Oreochromis niloticus: one gene and its partner. Each later gene encodes a partner of the first gene's protein in a complex. Links are inferred from orthologs where the notes say so. Each region holds a gene or a part of one and is shown in the gene's direction. Other genes may lie near its edges.

What was found. The genes of interacting proteins can lie anywhere in the genome.
Region 2: eif3jb (region 1) and eif3s6ip share a complex: the UniProt entries of both Homo sapiens proteins name them as parts of the eukaryotic translation initiation factor 3 (eIF-3) complex. The link is inferred for Oreochromis niloticus from reciprocal best matches to the Homo sapiens genes EIF3J and EIF3L.

What each region holds. Positions count from the first base shown.
Region 1 is NC_031965.2:18,808,617-18,819,025, reverse strand, and holds the start of eif3jb (eukaryotic translation initiation factor 3 subunit J-B), read left to right. Parts: upstream 1-5,966; 5' UTR 5,967-6,109; coding exon 6,110-6,122; intron 6,123-6,269; coding exon 6,270-6,358; intron 6,359-8,284; coding exon 8,285-8,342; intron 8,343-8,435; coding exon 8,436-8,533; intron 8,534-8,621; coding exon 8,622-8,718; intron 8,719-9,247; coding exon 9,248-9,418; intron 9,419-9,525; coding exon 9,526-9,599; intron 9,600-9,787; coding exon 9,788-9,913; 3' UTR 9,914-10,409. Other genes in the region: strc1 (stereocilin), read left to right, coding at 807-982, 1,128-1,283, 1,437-1,579, 1,674-1,822, 2,023-2,120, 2,615-2,765, 4,004-4,098. UniProt on the Homo sapiens protein: Component of the eukaryotic translation initiation factor 3 (eIF-3) complex, which is required for several steps in the initiation of protein synthesis.
Region 2 is NC_031978.2:25,121,533-25,131,463, reverse strand, and holds the start of eif3s6ip (eukaryotic translation initiation factor 3 subunit L), read left to right. Parts: upstream 1-5,083; 5' UTR 5,084-5,220; coding exon 5,221-5,244; intron 5,245-5,601; coding exon 5,602-5,644; intron 5,645-5,806; coding exon 5,807-6,017; intron 6,018-6,096; coding exon 6,097-6,176; intron 6,177-6,404; coding exon 6,405-6,466; intron 6,467-6,567; coding exon 6,568-6,637; intron 6,638-6,730; coding exon 6,731-6,804; intron 6,805-7,017; coding exon 7,018-7,189; intron 7,190-7,339; coding exon 7,340-7,494; intron 7,495-8,043; coding exon 8,044-8,214; intron 8,215-8,445; coding exon 8,446-8,579; intron 8,580-8,800; coding exon 8,801-8,974; intron 8,975-9,164; coding exon 9,165-9,354; intron 9,355-9,564; coding exon 9,565-9,645; intron 9,646-9,864; coding exon 9,865-9,931. Other genes in the region: smoc2 (SPARC-related modular calcium-binding protein 2), read right to left, coding at 3,344-3,418. UniProt on the Homo sapiens protein: Component of the eukaryotic translation initiation factor 3 (eIF-3) complex, which is required for several steps in the initiation of protein synthesis.

The sequences.
Region 1 (10,409 bases):
TTCAGTATCGTAAATCTTTCTTTCATTGAGCTTGCATTTCTAATTTTCATGGGCTGAAAGACATAATTAATAATAATCAATTTAACAAAAAAACACTTTCTCAAAAGTTCACTTCCCACATAATTAATATAGAATATATAAAAGTTTGCCTTGTTTTAATTAAAGTAGGAAATTAGGAAAAAAAAACCATCCACCTTTTCTTTCAGCTTTTTATGCTATGTAAAGTCTATATAGTCTGTTATGCAGTCATACTGGGGGGGGGGGCAAAATGAATGAATGAAAAATAGGCAGTGGGGTAGTTAATATAGCTTTGTGAAGCTGTTTATTAAGTATGAATAAGGTAGTAAGTGAATTGGTAATACATCAGAATGATAATGTTTATTTTTTGTTTATAATCCGATCACGTGACCAGGCTTGATGAAAAAAAAATTGTTTTATCCCCTCTAAGTAAGGACTGGAAAATGAACTGAAACAGTGGTCCCAAAAAACTGAGTTATTAACCCAACCATTGTTTTGGGGGACTTGTTATACTTCTAAACATTGATTGCATTATAGTCGTTTGGTACAGCTGAAAGCGCAGTACATTTGTGCATATGAATTTCTTTGCAAATTGACTTTTATAGCAGCAGAACTGATCTTCTAACAGTGAAAATGAGCTTCTTGAATTAAATTGTTCAGAAAGACTTTGGCTAATACTTTTCAGAAAACCAAAAACCTTGACAACTTCAAACTAAGCCATGGTTACATTGCTGACCCATTTTCATAGATAATCTCCTGATCATGTGTTTGTGTGTTTTGCTGGCCAGTGACTCCAATGGTTCCTACTTGTGAGATTTTGCATACAACAGCCCCCTCCGTTTGGCTCTCCAGCAGTTTGACTAGCATGTCTTCATCTGCCTTCTCCAACTGTCTGGAGCTGATGGGTCACGACCCGTTCCTTGCATCCTACCAACGCACTGAAGTGCTCAGGAGAGTCAAACAGGTCAGACTGATTGTTAATCTGAGTCAGTCCAACAAAAACCTCTTACATGTGTTTCATTTGATGATTACCAAAGTTTTCAGGTCTTCATATTGTCTCTGCTCTGTCTTTGCTCCGGGCCTCTCTGTATTAATGCTAATACATGAAGATATATGGCCCAGTCTCCTCCTTCTCCCAGGCTGTCATCTCTCAGCTCGGTGTAATAGCGACACAGCTATCATTAGACGAGCTGAATGCCATTCGACTGACTGAGCGGAGAAGCATTGCCGCTCTGGGCACAGTCAGTGACTGGAATAGCAGACAGGTAAGTACTTTAGTCACTGCAGCTCAAATATTTACATGTTACATCAAAATTGCTTTGTCTTTTGGGCAGTTTTTATTTCATCTGATAAGAATAATACCAGCTGTGGCATTACTGTGCTGTATTAGACTGGTTTATAACTTGTTGTCGTCCTAGCTGGCCACACTGTTTTCTACCGTGTTAAGCTCCACCAAGCAGAATCCGAGCCAGCTTGACTCCAGCACTCTGGTGGCAATGGGATACATTGTGTGTGGCGCTAAAGCCACAGAGATGAGGTCTTTCAATCCTATAGAGCTCAGGTGCGCACAGTATCGGAAAATGCTTAAATTTTTTTTCAAGCCCAGCTTGACACTTGAATTTACTTTGTACTTTGTCTCCCTCTGATGGCTGCAGTAAGGCGGTTCTCAGGCTGGGTCGGCTCAGGCTGTCCTGCTCAGAGGAGCAGCTGCAAGCTCTTGTTGAACTGCTAACCCACAGCCTCGCTTTTGGACTCATGAGTTCCTGGGGCACCGATGTGTTCATTGAGATCGGAGTCCTGGCAGGTATTGTCTATTCATTGTCTTTGCCACATGAATTTTAGATGTACTATGCATAGTCCTACATCTGCCTTAATGTGTGGTCAGGTCAGAGATTTAAATCAAAGACATTTTGTTTTCCTCTATGCTTTGCTGTAAAAGCATTTGATTCATTGATTCTAGCACCCTTTGCTCTGTTTCACTGGAACATTTTGCTTGTTTTTCAGTGGGTATCCCAGACATGGCCATGTCAGCGCTGGTAAAAGAGCAAATTGAGGGAATTGCACCTTTGGCTATCTCAATGATGCCACAAGAAAAGTTTGCTGTGAGTCAAGATTTAATTAAACCAACCATATCATGGGTGTTAAACATAAGGCACGGGGGCCAGAAATGAACCAACAAAGACTCCAATCCGGCCAACTGGACGGCTTTAGAAAATGTGAAGGAGGAAATATTATTTTGGACTTTTAAATGTGTTGTAATAACTTTTACAGCATTTCCTGCTAATGACAAACTCTCCCACAGCAATCCATACTACACCACAGTATATTATGTCAGAGATTAAACTGGTAGTAAACCTTCTTGTCACTGACAGAAAGATTAGTTTCACTGGTCAGGGCCCATTATTGTAATACCAAGGTGAGCTAAACTACACTTAGATATGTGTAAAAAGTACATAATTTTTAGTAACATTTGTTTCTTACAATAAAAAAAATGTATTCCTGTTTTTGCGTCCATCTTGACAAATCTTTATCATGTCTTTAATTTATCTCTCTAAATAAATCCCACCCGCCGTGTTTTTTTTGTTGTTTTCAAAAGGTGGTATTCTCCCAGGAAAAGATTGCCATGTTCTCCTACGAGCAGGCTGTTGCAGTAACTGATAACCAGCGCTCTGTTCTGTCAGACCTCCAGAAAACAGCTCTAGCTATGGTGCTGACACCCTGGGACGATAAGCCTGTAGACTTCAGAGGTAAAACCTGAATCAGTGCTGTCCACTGATGACCATTAAACTTGATTTGTCTTCTTTATGCATTAATCGCTTTATCTGATGAAAATATAATCGCCCTTATCAAAACTCTAACCAAAGTTTTATGCTAGTTTAGGTACATCTTGCTAGTATCAGGTTGGATCCACTTTTGCCTTCAGAACTGCCTTATTTCTTAATTCCTCTGAGATTTTGCTCCATATTGACATGATAGCATCATACAGCTGCTCCAGATCTGCAGACTGCACAATCTCCTGTTCCACCACATCCCAAAGGTGCTTCATTGGATTGAGATCTGGTGTCTGTGGAGGGTGTCTTAGTGCAGTGAGCTCATTGTCATGCTCAAGAAACCAGTTTGAGATGATTTCAGCTTTGTGACATGGTGCATTACCCCGCTGGAACCAGCCATCGGAAGATGGATACACTGTGGTCATAATGGGGTGAACATGACACATCAACAACAATACTCAGGTAGGTGTGCTTAGCTGGTACTAACCTGCCCAAAGTGTGCTACGGAAATATATCTATCACACCATTGGATGACCCCGTGTGAATTTTAGCCTCAGTTTTCTGCTCCTGTTGCCCATTTTTCCACACACTTTGAGCCGCTTAGTACCATGTGAGGATCATTTAAACACCACAGTCTGACTGAGTATTGTTGCTCATTACATCCATCCCATTATGACCACAGTGTACAATCTTCTGATGGCAGCTTCCAGCAGGAGGAGGTCACCAGCTCTCAATCCAGTAGAACACCACTGAGATGTGGTAAAGCTGGAGAGTCGCGTTATGGATGTGCAGCTAACAAATCTGCAGCAACTGTGTGATGCTATCATGTCAGTATAGACCAAAATCTGTGAGGAATTAAGAATTAAGGCAGTTCTGAAGGCAAAAGGGGACCAAACCAGTACTAGCAAGCTACACCTAATAAAGTGACCCGTGAGTGTATAAATTATTACTGTAATTTGACTCCCAAAATCAAGGCTGACGATAGCTGCTGTTGTTTCCTTGCTGGTTTCAGCACTTTATTCTCATTGTACTTGTAGATGTTTCCAGTGTGCTTTCTTTTCTAACATTATCTAACATATGAACATTATGCCTTGCTAGATATGCTATGCATGGATACTCTAGGTGTGGAGAGAGTGCCTACCGTGATATGAATCTGCCTGAACTATATTTTTGCATAGCTCTACATTTGTAATGCTTTTGCTGAATTCCTGCAGGGAGGTCACTGGGGTTGGCGTTGAGCCACAGCCCCCTGTGTCTCTTATCGGGACTGCTGATGCTGCTGACCGTCCTGCTCTGCCCTGACACATGACCTCGTTCACCCCAGCCGAATCAGGAGACCCCCTCTTCTACATGATGATTGTCTGTCTGCACAATGCTGTATTTCTTTGAAATAAACAGCATTTAAAGCTTTCCATACTCTTTTTAGCAACACTGTAATTGATCTTGTATAACTATTACTTTAGCATCAACATTTAGCAGTGAAAGAACAAAGTTTGAGAGAGTAAGAGCTGTTTGTTTTAATCAGCAAATCTATCTAATACCCACAGATCCTAGACTATTTATTTATTTTTGTACAAACCTATCTAAACACTTTACTTTCCCATATATATCCTTCTCAGGGATGCCATACCTAGAAATAATACTTAAAAATGATAAAGGTTAAAATATAATTGTTGTGCAGTTATTACGAAAGAAATCTGTTGCAAATGTACAAAGTTATTTATTTTTGGGGAACTATAGATTTATGTGAGTAATAGTGATAACACTTTCTATATATCTGTCTATTTTGAGTTATCTTGATTACAAAACAATACCTAGTAGGGCCTGATTGTACTAGTATTGATCAACTTTGGTCTGTTGTTGCTGTGAGTTTTGTACTGTTGTGCACACTTTGTGGTGTGATTAAAATGACTCTAAATGATCAATAAACTGAACCAATCTACCTCTGATTGGCTCTTTTTATTGCTTGTTATTGTTGTAGTTTTACCCACAGCTCTGTTCACCATTCAAAAAGCATTTGACACTACAGATGACAGATTACTAAAGATAAAGCTGGAGATAACGGTATCAAAGGGGTGGCACATTCCTGGTTAAATAGTTACCACACTGATAGATACCACTGTGTGCAAATAAATAATAACTCTGGTTTCATTGTGAGGTTTTTTTTCTGTTTATACCGTAGGAAAAAAAGGTTTGGAATAGCTTCTGAATGTAGTTGAAATTATCAATAAATCACAGCTATCATATTCAGTAACAGGCAAATAAGGAATGAAGTCAAAATTATGATCACTGATGATGAAACAGAAAGAGTGTATGAAACTAGATTTTTTGCAATGGGTAACTGGATACTAATCACATTTGCAAGGGTCGTATAAAGAATTCCTTTTCTTCTTTCGGTTGCCTCGTTTAGGGGTCGTACATCACTCTTATTTTTAAAAATGGGTGCTAGTACACTTCTTCTCCATCCCCCAGGGATCCTCTCACTCTCTAATCTGGTCCACTGCCCCCTCTCCCGGATGTCTCCTCCACAGTTATGTCATCTGGACCAACTGCCTTTTCACTCTTCATCCTATTTATAGTTTTCCTTGCTTCCTCATTCACTGCCCTCCATCCATCCTCAACTTTCTTTCATTTTCGTCATTCATGAGCTCCTCAAAGTAGCCTTTCCACTCTCTCAGTAAACTTTATTCATTACTACATTTCCATCTCTATCCTCAGTCACCCTAACCCGCTGCACATCCTTTCCAGCTCGACCTTGATCCTTCAAAAATATTATTTATTTTAATATATCACTGAGGAATTATTGATCACCATTTCCATTTCAATTCCCATTAATATCATACATCTGAGGTACTGCACTTTCTCGACAAGAATGATTAAAAAACAATTTTTAATGTATATACTTTATTATACTCCCTTATGAGATTCAGTTAAATTAAGGCTATTAATTAATTATTTTTTCTTCGGTTAAAATAATATGTAGTGTATCCAAATGTATCCAAAAGAGATTAAGAATAGGTTTTGACTCTTTATGTAAGAATGATGTAAAATGTACTTTTAACACATTTATTTTACAATGCTCGACTTAAAAATGCGTGGAACTTGGCTTCAGCTTGCTTGTAGCGTCTCATGTTTACAATTGAAATAAATAAAGGCGTGATGAGATTAGTTGTATCGGGGTCGTTGTGCTGAAAGTGCTCCGTGGACGTTAGATAAGGCCGGAGTGCCGCCCAGAAGGTGGGAGCTGTTTCTGAACGTGGCCAACGGGCTGCAGCACTGACTGTACAGCGAGCCTGTCAAACACAAGCAACACAGCCAACATGGCGGACTGGGGTGAGAAACTAAGTTGGGAAGGATGGCTATCTGTACAACATTTACTTGTCGCACTCGCTGTTTTAAGGGCCTAATACACCTCTCATTGTTAACTCCAGGTGTCAGATGTGGACTGACCTAACGACTCTCATGTTGTTGTTTTTACAGACGCTGACAACTTCGAGCCGGAGGAACCGATTAAAAAGGCGGCAGCGCTGGACAAATGGGAAGGCGAGGACGAAGATGAAGATGTTAAGGTAAAATATCGTGACGAACACTCGGTATAGTCTGAGCCGCTTTTTAAAATCTGCCACCGGTTGTTTGCGAGCTGTTAGCTGACCGAGCAAGCGACAGGATGTAATGCCACGCTTCGTCGTGGTTTCTCGCCGCCTGTCAGTCCGAACCTCCGAACCCCTGTTAGCTTATGCTAACTCATGTGGCTCCAACAAGCAGCCTCTGGAAACTCTAGCTCAGCTAACAGTATGCTGGTATTCGAGTTTCAGTCATTCAAACGTACTGTTAACAAACTGAATAACGGCGTGCCAGTTCATACTTATAGGTTTAATCAAATTTTTGGACGCTAGTAGTGTTTTCTACTTCTCTTGGCGTCATGAATTTTGATAGCGGTGCTTGAAGCTAATCTCTCACCGGACGGGCCACTTGAGCTAGCTAGTCTGCTAGCTCTCGTGTATTGTTGCGTCTGTAAATAGGCTTTAATGTTGGGTGACCTCAGTATTGAGTGATTTGTTCATGTGTTGCTAATATACAGGTCCATCCCATTATTGCACAGATTTAGTTGCATTAAACGATTATTGGAGATTAGCATAATTATGTCTACTCTGGCAAACCCACAGCTTGAGTCACGTTGAGTATGAGGCGGCGTTAGCGTGCTAACCAACTTTAGCCCCATTCAGATGAAATCATCCACTGGGTTGATGACTCAACTCAGCCAAGAACTAGGCCTGGAACTTTCCGACTTTACAGCAGGCAGTAGGAAGCCGCTGTTCAGCTGATACCGTAATACAGGTAGCTGCTACGTGAAAACTGGCACGGTCTCTGTCCAGAAGCCTCAGATAATTGATCCTGTGGAAAGTGCTGGCAGAGGCCTCTTCAGTTCTCCCGTTTTCTGTCGCATATGGCGTCCAGACTGAAGAGCCTGATGGTTTTATGTCCTCTGTAGTACAAAATGGTCATTGTTTAGGAAGAAGGGTTAAGATTTTTGTGGAAATCAGACAATAGCACAAAGTTAATTTTTACTCAAGATAATTAAATTTATTTCCAGAGCTGCTGTTGTTGTTGTTCATAACCTGCTGGAAATGCAACAGGCCGGTTGTCAAATGTTTATTGTGTAGTAATTCACAGTTTAAAGTCTTGGATATTTCAGTTAGAAATTAGTATCTTCTTGGATTGGATTACATTTATTTGTAGTGACACTTAAGGTGGATCTTAATATAAGACAGCAATCTACAGGATCACAACCCCAGTGATGTCTGAAGAGTCATCACCTATAAATTAATAAATTAACACTGATGTCATAACTCGTAACTCATTGTCATGAATTACAGAATCTTAAACTTTAATGTTGTTATATTTTTTGATTCTTAATCACTGTTTAATATATACAAGTTCTGCATTATTACACAGTATTAAGCACTCACTGTGTGCATGTGGTACTTTCAGTTTTTTAATGTAGACTGTACTATTTTTATTCTTTATCCTGGTACCGTAACACAGTAATTACCCTTGTTGGATCAGTAACGTTGATCGATCCAGCTTATATACATCTACGCCAGTGTAATCAGGACTAGAATAATTTGAACTAGAGGTAGAACAAAAGTTATTCATCTTCAGAAAATGAAGTGGCAGCTGTTGCATATCGATAAGTGATAATTTTATGTTTTAAAAAGTTTGGATTTTTTGTTATTTTAAAATAAACATTCTGACTGATTGCAGCCTTTGACTTACATTTTTAAAGTTGTCTAGTTCTGTAGGTGTTAAGATGTTGCTCAGAAAAAAAAGAAGACTTTTCAAGGCTTTAGCATGGCTCTGGGAAGCCATATTAATGTGTGTCGTTTGTTTGTTTTTGGTTACATTATACATCTATGTCTATATATTTACATCTTCTAGCTTACATATTAATAAAAAGGCAACAGTTACACACATTATGTTCTGTGTGTTCACAGGACAACTGGGACGATGATGAAGAAGATGAAGAGAAAAAAACAGATGTGAAGAAACCAGGTTTGTATCCCAGTACCGCTTGCCTTTCACTAATGGAGTATACTTGATTACTGAATGATTTTAATTTTCTTATGTCATTATTTTAATTTGCAGAGCCAAAGGTTTCTGAAAAGAAAAAACTTAGTGAAAAGATAAAAGAGAAAGAAAACCGGATGAAGAAGAAACAACAGGAGGCAATGGAACAGCAAGAAGTAAGTCCCACTTTCTCATCTGTAAACCTTTTGACTCTATGCTCGTTTATCTCTAATAATATCTTAACTCTTACATTTTTATTTACAGGAAGAACAGCTCACTCCTGAAGAACAGCTGGCAGAAAAATTAAGAGTGAAGAAATTACAGGAAGACGCAGACTTGGAGCTAGCAAAAGATGCTTTTGGTAAGACCGGATCAGGTGTAGAAACTTTTTATCAAGAACATGAGGTCTTCCACAAAATCAAGTTGTGTAACTGATGCAATACATTTAGTTTGCAATACATTAGTCGCTGTTGCTTGTAGTTAACATTTAACTAAGACTTAAAAGGCTTAAATACTCCTTTGGCTTTTACGTTTTACACAGATGTCCCAGTAATTCAGCTGTAGATGCCACATACTATACCTCACCTCCAAAGGAACAATGCACCATTCTATTATCTGTAAAATGTTTAGAGTAGACTCTAAAAGCTGAAGCTTTAAGTAAGATCTTTACACATGCTTTAGGAAAGCTGTGATTTGAGGAAAATATTTGTTTTTCGTGCTCCTGATGCTGTAAACTGTTTTTTTTGTTTGTTTGTTTGTTTGTTTGTTTGTTTTTTAAACTGCAGCATGTCTAACAAAAGTTTATACAACAGATATGGGATTTTTGAGACCTGATATTGTTCATCTTGTTGTGATCAATGTATGTAATGGTGACCTTTAAATCTTTTCAGGTGTTGGCAGCACTTCAAACAGTGTCACGGGAATTGATGCCATGTGTCCATCTTCCAAAGAAGACTTCACAGAGTTTGAAAAAATGCTAAAAGAAAAGATAACCCAGTTTGAAAAATCTGTGCATTATTCAAGTTTCTTGGAGTCATTGTTTCGGGAACTTTGTATTTCATGTAAGTCTTTTTTTCCTGCTTTTACGGAACATTTTTTATTACACTTGTCTTAAATTTAAAATGCACTGTGCTTGTCCAGTAACTACTTATTTTTCTTCCTCTTACAGTGGAAGTAGATGACTTGAAGAAAATCAGTAATTCCCTGTCAGTCCTACTTAGTGAAAAACAGAAACAAGAAAAAGTAAGTGACTGCATGCTTGCATTTACTATTAGCTGAAATTAAGTTTCTATTCAGCAGGGGGTGCTACTCACCCAATACTTACTCGATGTCCAAACATAAAAAAAACCTCTGGCAAACGTTTGTAGCTATATAGTCATTTCCAAATATATATGTATTTACTTTAAGTTGCTTTTATTTGCCTTCTACAGCAAAACAAAGGAAAAAAGAAGAAGAAGGCGGTCTTAGCTGGAGGTTTGAAAGCACAGCTCAAAGATGACCTTGACTATGCAGCGTTTGATGGAGGCTACGCCCAAGACTATGAGGACTTCATGTGACACTGGCTTCATCACTACTGCCCTTTCCCCTTCTCCCGACTGTCAGAAATGCAGCTGTACCTTCTCATGCTGTCCAGTGCCATCCTGGAAAATCTGAACTGTGTCTTGCCCCCTTCATTTTGCTTCAGTGACCAGAGGGACTATACCAGGGAGCATCCAGTCTCACCACCCACGGTTTTTTTCTTCTTCTTTTCTCCTTCCATACAAATGGAATTGCCTTTTCTCTCTCATTCAGCCTCAACTCACAAACAAATCACGCGGAATCTGTTGCTCGACCCAGCTACAACGGAGAATACTACCATAACTGCTGTTGTCTGAGTTTTGCAGGGCTTGGTTTTTTTGTTTTTTGTTTCTTTTTAAATTAAATGTTGCTCCTGTCAAAATGTCAGATACAGTATTGCAGTTATAAGTCTAGTGACATAGAAACACATGGTTCTATGCAAATCCTTTAACCAGAATGTCATGTATATATTATAGGTCTCACTTACCTGTGGAT
Region 2 (9,931 bases), on another chromosome or scaffold:
AATCAAGACTGAATTTGAAACAAACATCTGCACTTTTTGTCTTCAACTAAACACTTAAGAGTTTCTATTTTTGGTTGCTTATGTGTTTGGCTCGCTCTCTTGATAAACACAAGATCGTACATGTCCTGCCCCTACTCCCTCATTGTATCTCTCAGCTGTTTGAATTATTTGCATCATTGCATTTAACTGACAGAGTCCCATTAGTACAATCCTCCCTTCTGTTCCTCTTCTCTCCAGTGCTACTAGCTTCACACACAGGTAAGGAGGGCATACTTATTCAACACCGAAAGTCTCTCATAGCTCCCCCTTCACATACAGACAGTTCTGAAGCCAGTTACTACACTGATGGTGTCTTAGAGCATCCAACCCCACTTGGTGGTGACTGTCCAGCACTTGCCACAGCCAATGTACTCCCACTACACCAGCATTAGCCCCTGCCAGCCAGCAGACTGACATCGCAAACAGAGTCATTCAGCGGCCCAGCATCCTGCTAGAAGTCTGCTCTCCAGCACACACAGCATAGTGCCAAGCTCCAGCAAGTTTACAGTGAAGCTCCAAGAACGCAGCATGGAAAAACACAGTTGAAATCATGAAATCAGCCACCCATGAAATCAACCACCCAGACTCAGTTTCAGACATCCGAATATTTATTTCTAAGCCGTTTCAAAGTTGGCCACACTGAAGGAAGTGCAAACAAATAAGATGTGAAAGTGAGGGAGAGGAAGAAACTTCAGAGACTAATGGTGCTTTGAGGGCTTCTTCCTCCTGTGTACACCTAATTGTAGTTAGCTCTCTGCTACAGATCTCTGTGTGTTTTTTGCCTGTGGTGATGGATGGGTGAGGCTGAGGCAGAGCCCCGACACTCCCCTGATGTCTCATTCCAGCCTCTCCGAGTCGACACCATCATCCTGCACAGGAATATGGTGGAGAGTGATGGATGGCCTCTGCCTCAGCTACATGCGGCACAGACTTCCACCCTGAATTATCATAAAAGGAGACTCGTGCAAGTCTGAACACGCATTTTGACTCAAATCAATTTATTGCTCAAATCCCACTCCCGTCTACTTGCAGACATCTGGCGCTCACTTTCTCTGTTTGCCTTTCTCTTTATTTGGCCTCTCGTGATTTTTTTTTTCTTTTGTTCTTTGTGGGATCTCTCTTGGAAGATGCTTTTTGCATCTGCTCTAATAATACAGAAGGTTGGCAAAAGAACAAGAGACAGGCAAGAGAGGGCGAGGCGGGTGGAGTGTAAGGGAAATTTTTTTTCTAAGATCAACCAGCATACAAATCAAATCCTATTACCTCCCCCTGGCTCGACGGCATTGTGGGATTGAATGGGGTATGGAGGAGGCGAACCTCCAGCAGAGAGCGCATTGTAGGCTGATAAGAGCCTTCTGGGCTGGGAGGCCCCTGCTTCCAGCGCCTTGAGAGGCCCCTCACACCACAGCCCCACAGGGTCAATGGGGGCCCCAGCTGAGAGCTGTGGCAAACGTGTTAAATGCCCTTGCCGGGAGTTTCCTGCGTGGATGCTAGGATGCAAAGGGGATCATTAGTTTCCAGCATGGTGGAAAGGGAAGAAAGTGTCAGCCTTTAACCAGCCTACTAACTCAATCAAAGGAAAAAGGGATTTAATTGCTTTGAGAGATGTTAAAAAGAAAAGGAGGTGTTGCAAAAGGCTAGTGGTAGTCATGTGATAAAGAAACCCGCCTCTTTGAGCAGGTGGAAAATTTTAGGAAAGCACTTGGGGGGCAGCAGGGCCCGTGTTAGATCAAAAATTCTACATAAAGATTTGAAAATGAGGCAGCCACTATTCTGTGTGCCCTCATCTTCTCACACACTATTTCATATTTCCATAAACAATGGAAAAAATCGGTCTCATGAATAACCCTGGGCAAATATCTCATATATTTAACTGCCTGTCTGACCTCAAATATGCACAAAATATAACATGAAGACATTTTCTTTTAACCAGTAATGGTCTCTCCTGTATATGTTAAACAATAAGCCATTAATCACTTGCAACCTTCTTTGTAAAAGAAAGTTATACTACTAAAGACAGTCTGATTAGCCCGTGTTGGGAGGTATGGCACACAATATGAAACAAAATTAAACTGAGGCACGCAACAAAGTAGAGAAGTTTCTCGTTCTTACACTCGTCTCCAGAGCACAGCAGATAATGTGTCATATCCAAACAACCACAAACACAGCTACACCCGTGTAACCTTTCTATTAAATGACAGGTAAATGGTATCAACCATGTCACATATAGAGAAATACTCCTCACACTAATTATCTGTAGCCTTGGTCTGTGTGTGTGTTTGTGTGTATCAACTCAGTGAAGCATCTGCCCAGTACAACGCTTCCTCCCACATTCCACAACTCTGTAGTGCCGTCAGGGAGAAAGGATCTCCGACCCTTCACCTGAAGGTTAACAACTCATGGCCATTTGTTTCCAATTGGATACCGAGGCATCTTCTCCAGAACCATAAATACTGGTGCTGGGAGAGGTGGCTGTCACATCAGCCTCTAAATCAAAAGGGGGAGCCTCTGACAATGCACATTCCACTCTCTATTAAGTGTCCTTTACCACTGTACCTGCACTTGATCATGGCCATGAAATTCCCCAGAAGATGCACTTTCTGTCAGAGTTTAATGTAAGATGGAGAGGATGCTGCTGTAAACAATGCCATGTGCTTTAATGCAGAAGATCCCGGCAGCTCAGCCTCTGAAGAGCAACTAGAACAACAGGAGCAAACCAGACAGAAAGGCAGCAGAGCCGAGAAGCTGGCAGGCAGGTTACAGCAGCAAAACCAAACCTGCAAAGGATCTGCTGCACACCAGCCAACTGCTTACAAACCTATAGCCTTTGCTGTGCCAACACTCTGAAAAGCTGTGGCGCTCAGTTTACATGACTGACAAAAAACACAGAGCCATTTTCTCCGTGCACAGCTCTACTTGATGCTCTCTTGAGCTCTAAAATGGATTTCTGCCACATATAAAACATTCAACTAATACAGCCCACTTCTTTTAGAGTGAGATAACCTCAGACTCAGACTTCAGTGTAAGAATGTGGCAGAGTGTAGTAGTAATTGACTTCAAATGCGTCATTATCGGTATTGAATATTTTATTATTTCAGATTCTTAGACTAAATAGATCACAAGAAGCTTGACTTTTAAGAAAAGGGTGCGTAGGAACTATTTCTTTTATATTAAAAATATTTTCCAGATTGTGAATTTTGGAATTTTATTCATAGAAAGCACATGCACATCCTTTCCATTTAAAACATCTTTTACTCATGAAATTGAATGACATTCATTCCGGGAGTTAAGTGCCTCCTCATACCCTGAGAGCGGAGAACTTCTGAACGCCTCCAGCGCACTGTAGACAGAGGAAGACCAGCAGTGGACAGATGCGCATCCTGACGCAGCGTGGTAATATACTCTCCAAATTACGCGCGGTCCAAAATCGTGTTGGTAGGAGTTCACCTAGGCGCAAAACTGTCTATGGGAAAAGTCAAAAATAGTTTAAAATCCGCACCAGTCCTTTCGAAGAAGTCACTGGGGGTCGGTGGTGTATTTCACGTCGTTTCCTTGGTTTCGTCTGCCAGCCCGTTTGTGTAGACACGCTCCTTATTTCTGGCAGTCCGATAAACCCCCCCGTGTCCCTGACCTTTTCCCCTCCCTCGGTGTCTCTTTCTCCCTCTCTTTAACTCAACTTCGTTTCTCCACACCCCCTTTCTGCTACACTTGATTCTGTGGACTAGATCCCTTATCGGATGCAGGCGGTTCCCCAGCCGGTAGTCAGTCAGGTAGGCGTAAGCTTACGCCGTCAGCTGCTGGTAGTTGAGTCAAACACGTCAGGTATTCTTTTCTTTACGTAAGAAAGTGGTGTGAGGATGCTCAACCCCAGTGAAGAGAAAACGCAGGAAGGGGTCAGAAAGTGTCTGCTAGGTGGATCAGCAAATAAATTTTCGTTCTGATGGACGCATACACAATCACATTTAAAGTTTTGATTATACGGCTATATACAATTCTCAAAACAAAGTTAGACAAGCCCCTGAGTTTCACACAATACAGATTAAAAAAACAAGCGGCGCCTAGAATAACAAATATTTTGGCAAAAGTAAAATAATCTAACAATATGTCCCTTTGATCACACATATAAGACAAAATAGCATATTTATTGGCCATATTGTATTAAACCTTTCTCAGCTTTGTAACTATATGCTGTATGAGCACGAACCAGTTTGCAATTTCTTCCCAATAACTCTCCATTCGCCGAGTCCACGGCCACTAGTGCAACGTTTCAGAGCGTCCCACTACGACTATAACGCCACCTAATGGTAGATGATAGTCTTCACAGTCTGCTCAATACACTCCATATGGTCAAATAGCTGTCGGGGATTTCGAAATTCTACACATCAGTTCGGACTTTTGCGTTTGCCAGAACTCTGCGTAACGTATTCTCCACAAGTTTATTTTATTCTCCACGAGAAAAATTAGGCTGAGTTTTCAACATACATTTTTTTGTGCAGGAATCAAAGAAACTTGACAAATAAGAACATAGGGCCTATATCAAATTATATCTGTTCCTCTTGGTTGTTTGTTTTTCAGTACCTGCACAAGAACCCCTTCAGTAGAAAGGTATTTCTCGCCAAGAGTCCGTTTGTTTCCCGAATATATGTTTGGTCAAAACTGGTGTAGCCTAATTAGTATCATTAGACATCTTTACAATACATTATGGTGAGTAAAAAGCACAGCTGTAAACAAATACACAGATGCCGTGTCACGAACAGACACTAGCAAAACAATGAGGTTCATAAAATACATTTATGAAACCCTAATCAGAGCCCTAGCTTGCTCTTGTTCTCAGTTACATAGGTATCATTCCCTACGAGAAACTTAAGAAGAAAAAACGTGGAAAGAAATGGCTATTCGTTTTTAAATTCACCACCCTCTACATCTTTTTTTGTTTGAAATGGCTTTTAGAGGAGACATGCGAAAGTTTGAGAATCGAGTGTTTCTCTTGGTGAACAACAAACTCAATTTCCCACAGTGCTCCAATAACAATGCGTGTCACTCCTACGTCACAGCTACTTCCTTCCGCTTCTTCTCGTCTCTCCACCGCCAGCTGCGTGGTTTAGCGGCGGTAGCTAATTGAGCATACATTCTCCTTTTTCACTCCAGCATCTAAACTAGCTTGAACTAATAGCTAATACAATGTCATACCACGACGAAGAGGATGTAAGTACACATTTACTCCTTCAGACATTTTAACGTTTTGACTACAATAACAATGGCACACTGTTAGCTAGGTAACACACACTGTTAGCTAGGTAGCTGTGTAGCTAGCTCGACTCCACCGGCATAGTATAACAGTGGCTTCAATGAGTTAGTGTGATATAAATTTACTCTTAACCCCTGCTTTAAGAAAATGCAACCTGGACAACTAGCTAATTGTCTGTAACTCTTTTTAGTGCATTTTTATTATTATAAAATATCGCTATATAATCGATCAGTTGGTCGCTTCTCGCTGGGCAGATGTATCAATATCAGATGCTGTATCAGTAACAAATGCCCGATTGCTTTGTTTCCTTACAGTACGATCCTTACTCCTACACAAACGACTACGATCTGCACACTGGTAAGTATACAAATAACCATCCCTTTTATACTCATACTATCAATATTTACAGATACAATCCTCTTGTTTAGTCAGTCAGTGTATAACACACAGACACAAACATACACAACATAAGTAACTTTTAGAGGAGAGTAAAGGATATTCTTTTAATTTTCCTTGCAGGTGACCCTAAAGCAGACCTTGCCTACGAGAGGCAGTATGAGCAGCAGACCTACCATGTCATCCCAGAGGTGATCAAGAACTTTCTGCAGTATTTCCACAAAACCATCTCTGACTTGATTGACCAGAAGGTTTATGAGCTGCAGTCCAACCGGGTGTCTAGTGAGAGCATTGAGCAGAAGATCTACGAGATCCAGGACGTCTATGAAAACAGGTAAAGTTAACTCTGTGCACATAACTCTCACACCGTGTGAGATTAATATGCTGACCTTTTCATGCTCTTGCCCATTCAGCTGGAACAAGTTGACTGACCGTTTCTTCAAGACCTCTCCCTGGCCAGAGGCTGAGGCCATTGCATCACTTGTTGGCAATGGTGAGAGCGTTATCCATTACTTGTTCTACTTTTGATTTTGTATGGATAGTATCATTTTTATTCTTTATTGTTTGAGTGTGATTTAAAAAAAAAAAAGATAAACTTGCACCGCTTAAGATTATTATTATTATTTATTTTGTATATTTAAGATTTTATAAAAGTTTTAGGCCTCCTTTGTGTGGTTCAGTGGAGATGTTTCATGTTGTTTTTGTCTCTTGTGTTTTGCAGATGCCGTGTTTCTCATTCTCTACAAGGAACTCTATTACAGACACATCTACGCTAAAGTCAGCGTGAGTAGCTGCTAAATATGAACAGTTGTCTGGGTCTTTTTTATCAGTGTCCAAAAAACTTTCTAGAATTTGGTTGAAAAAAGTATTTTCTGTATAATCAGGGTGGACCAACTTTGGACCAGAGATTTGAGTCCTACTACAATTACTGCAACCTCTTCAACTACATTCTCAGTAAGTAGCACAAATTGTCCATACATTTTCTCTTACCCGTTGTTGTTAGTGCAAGAACAGCAGCTTAATGAGATCATTGTTGACTCTAAACAGATGCTGATGGGCCGGCCCCCTTGGAGCTGCCAAACCAGTGGCTCTGGGACATCATTGATGAGTTTATCTACCAGGTACATTACAGTGTTTTTAGAGTGCATGCTCAACAATCAATAAGATCAAAATAAAGAAAAGGGCTGATAGCTGTTGTTGTTAATGTTATCATTGCTTTAAGCACCAGATAGGTGACATATTAATGAAGATATTCGTGGTCTTTAATGATCACTAGTCCACGTGGCTAGAAAGCATATTTAAAATCCACTAACAGACATCTCTTCCACCTTCAGTTTCAGTCATTCAGTCAGTACCGCTGTAAGACAGCCAAAAAGTCTGAAGAGGAAATTGAATTCCTGAGGAGCAATCCGAAGATCTGGAACGTCCACAGTGTCCTCAATGTTCTCCACTCCCTGGTGGACAAGAGCAACATCAACCGTCAGCTTGAGGTCTACACGAGTGGAGGTAAAGAACAGTGTTTTTTATGATATTTATAGAAAAGATGGAGTGTTTCTAGAAACCTAATTACTTTAAAATCTTGAATTATGTCAATTTAAGGCTTTAAAATCCAGGATTGTATAGGTCGTGAACATGTTATGTGTTCTTGTAATGCAGGAGACCCAGAAAGCGTGGCTGGAGAATATGGACGTCACTCCCTGTACAAGATGTTGGGTTACTTCAGCTTGGTCGGGCTTTTGAGGCTTCACTCTCTGCTTGGTGACTATTACCAGGCCATCAAAGTCCTGGAGAACATTGAGCTCAATAAGAAGGTACGACCTTATTTAAGACCTCATGTATAGAGAGGTCTGGTCTGCTCCAATGGTGATGATGAGCGCTAGGATTGGGTGTCTATATGGAAATATGTTGTTGTTTCCTCTTGTCCTAGAAGGTTTGATACAATGCTGACAGATACTGATGTTTTTAATTTAAATCAAACAAACGATATTCTCCGAGGATTCTTTTGATAATTTGACTCAGCACAGTTTCTGCTTTATCAGTCTTTATGCTCATGAAATTTAATGTGGGCAAAGTGAAGTTGCAGTAAAAAAGAAGGAACTCATTAATTTACCTGACACATTAACAATGAATAACAATTATGATACTAACATTGTAAAGTAAATACATAATTCAAAGTTCTCAGTTCTTCAGTAGCACAGAGTCAAATAGTTCATTTCATCTCAAAGTTTTTGTTAAATCAACCTTTGTAGCCACAAATAAAAAAGTTTGGTTGATCTGTTGAAATTAAACATTAAAAAAAGAAACTGCTCGTTTGCTCTGTAATTCATATTTCTGCATATTTTCTTTTGCCTGTCTTTCAGAGTATGTACTCGCGTGTTCCAGAGTGCCAAATCACCACATATTACTATGTGGGTTTTGCCTACCTTATGATGAGGCGCTACCAGGATGCCATTCGAGTCTTTGCTAACATCCTGCTCTATATCCAGAGAACAAGAAACATGTTCCAGAGGTCAACGTATAAATATGAGATGGTCAGTAACAGCAGTGGTTTTTAGACATTGTCTTATCTTTAGCTGTGGGTTCTTTTACTTATGTCTGTACAGAACATGGTGAGAGAACTTCAGACAGTAACATTTGGGATGCGTTGATTTGCTTTAAAACGCTTTGACACATGAATAATAATCAGGCACTCTCATTGTGTTGGATGATCAAACAGTATTATGTTCGGAACAGGTGTCATAATACCTGTATGTTTTCTTCAGATTAACAAACAAAATGAGCAGATGCACGGCCTGCTGGCTATCGCTCTGACCATGTACCCGATGCGCATCGACGAGAGCATCCACACCCAGCTGAGGGAGAAGTACGGAGATAAGATGCTCCGCATGCAAAAGGGGTAAGACCTACACTCACTGCCTTGCTTTACAACATATTTGTTTAAGTTGTGCGTCAGTCCTTTTCTGTTTTACTGTTATGATTTTGTATTATGTAGAATGTTATATAAAATGTGGAGCTTTGCTTATGGGATATGGAATCAGTAATGTATGACTTCATCAGCATTTGTGCTCGTAGCCTCAAACATTTCTTTTGACACAAATGTTACTTTTACCATCTCAGAGATCTGCAGGTGTTCGAGGAGCTGTTCAGCTTTGCCTGTCCCAAGTTCTTGTCACCTGTAGTGCCAAACTACGACAACGTCCACCCGAACTACCACAAAGAACCTTTTCAACAGCAGTTGAAGGTCTTTGCTGAGGAGGTGCAGCAGCAGGCCCAGCTCTCCACCATTCGAAGGTGAGTCCACCAACTTGTGAGTATGTGGAGGTTGTAGTTTTACCTGTAAAAGCTGGAATTATGTACAAAAATGTCCTGAATCTCCTCCAAACGTTTTGCCACACTTTACATATTTAAATCCTTTACATGAACTATTAGATTGTGTCTGAGTGCTTATATATGTCATCTAAATCACAATATGTCATTGTAGCTTCTTGAAGCTGTACACAACCATGCCAGTAGCCAAGCTGGCCGGCTTTCTGGACATGACAGAGCAGGAGTTCCGCATTCAGCTGCTCGTCTTCAAACACAAGATGAAGAATCTGGTGTGGACCAGCGGCATCTCAGCGCTGGACGGAGAGTTCCAGTCTGCCTCTGAGGTCGACTTTTACATTGACAAGGTGAATATCTTTTAAATGAAAGTGCTCGTTTTGATGTTTCTGTGCTGCTGTTTAAATAGCATGTCACAGGGCTGGATGGCTCCGAGGAATGCCTCTGGTGTTTAGTTCGGGTAAAATTAAGCATAAGATTTAAATACATTAAGTTTTACAGAGGTTAGATACGTGGATGTGGCTTGTTGTACTTTATATTTGATGGCATTTTTCCCACAGGACATGATCCACATTGCCGACACCAAAGTCGCTCGTCGGTATGGAGACTTTTTCATCAGACAGATCCACAAGTTTGAGGAGGTAAGCAATCATTCATAATGTCTCTGAATGGGAAAATATGTAATATGTTTCAGTTGCTAACTATTACAAGGTGTAACAATCTAATTGGAATATTAAAAGTTTGGAAATTAAACAGTTGTCTCTAATATTAAAATTAAAAACATCACCTGCTCCTTTGGTTTGCCTGCACTGAAAAGATTTTGAATACGGGACTAATGGTCACTTCTTGTGTCCCTACAGTTGAACAGGACTCTGAAGAAGATGTCAACCACTGCTACCACTGTGACATCAGGAACCGCTACAAGCC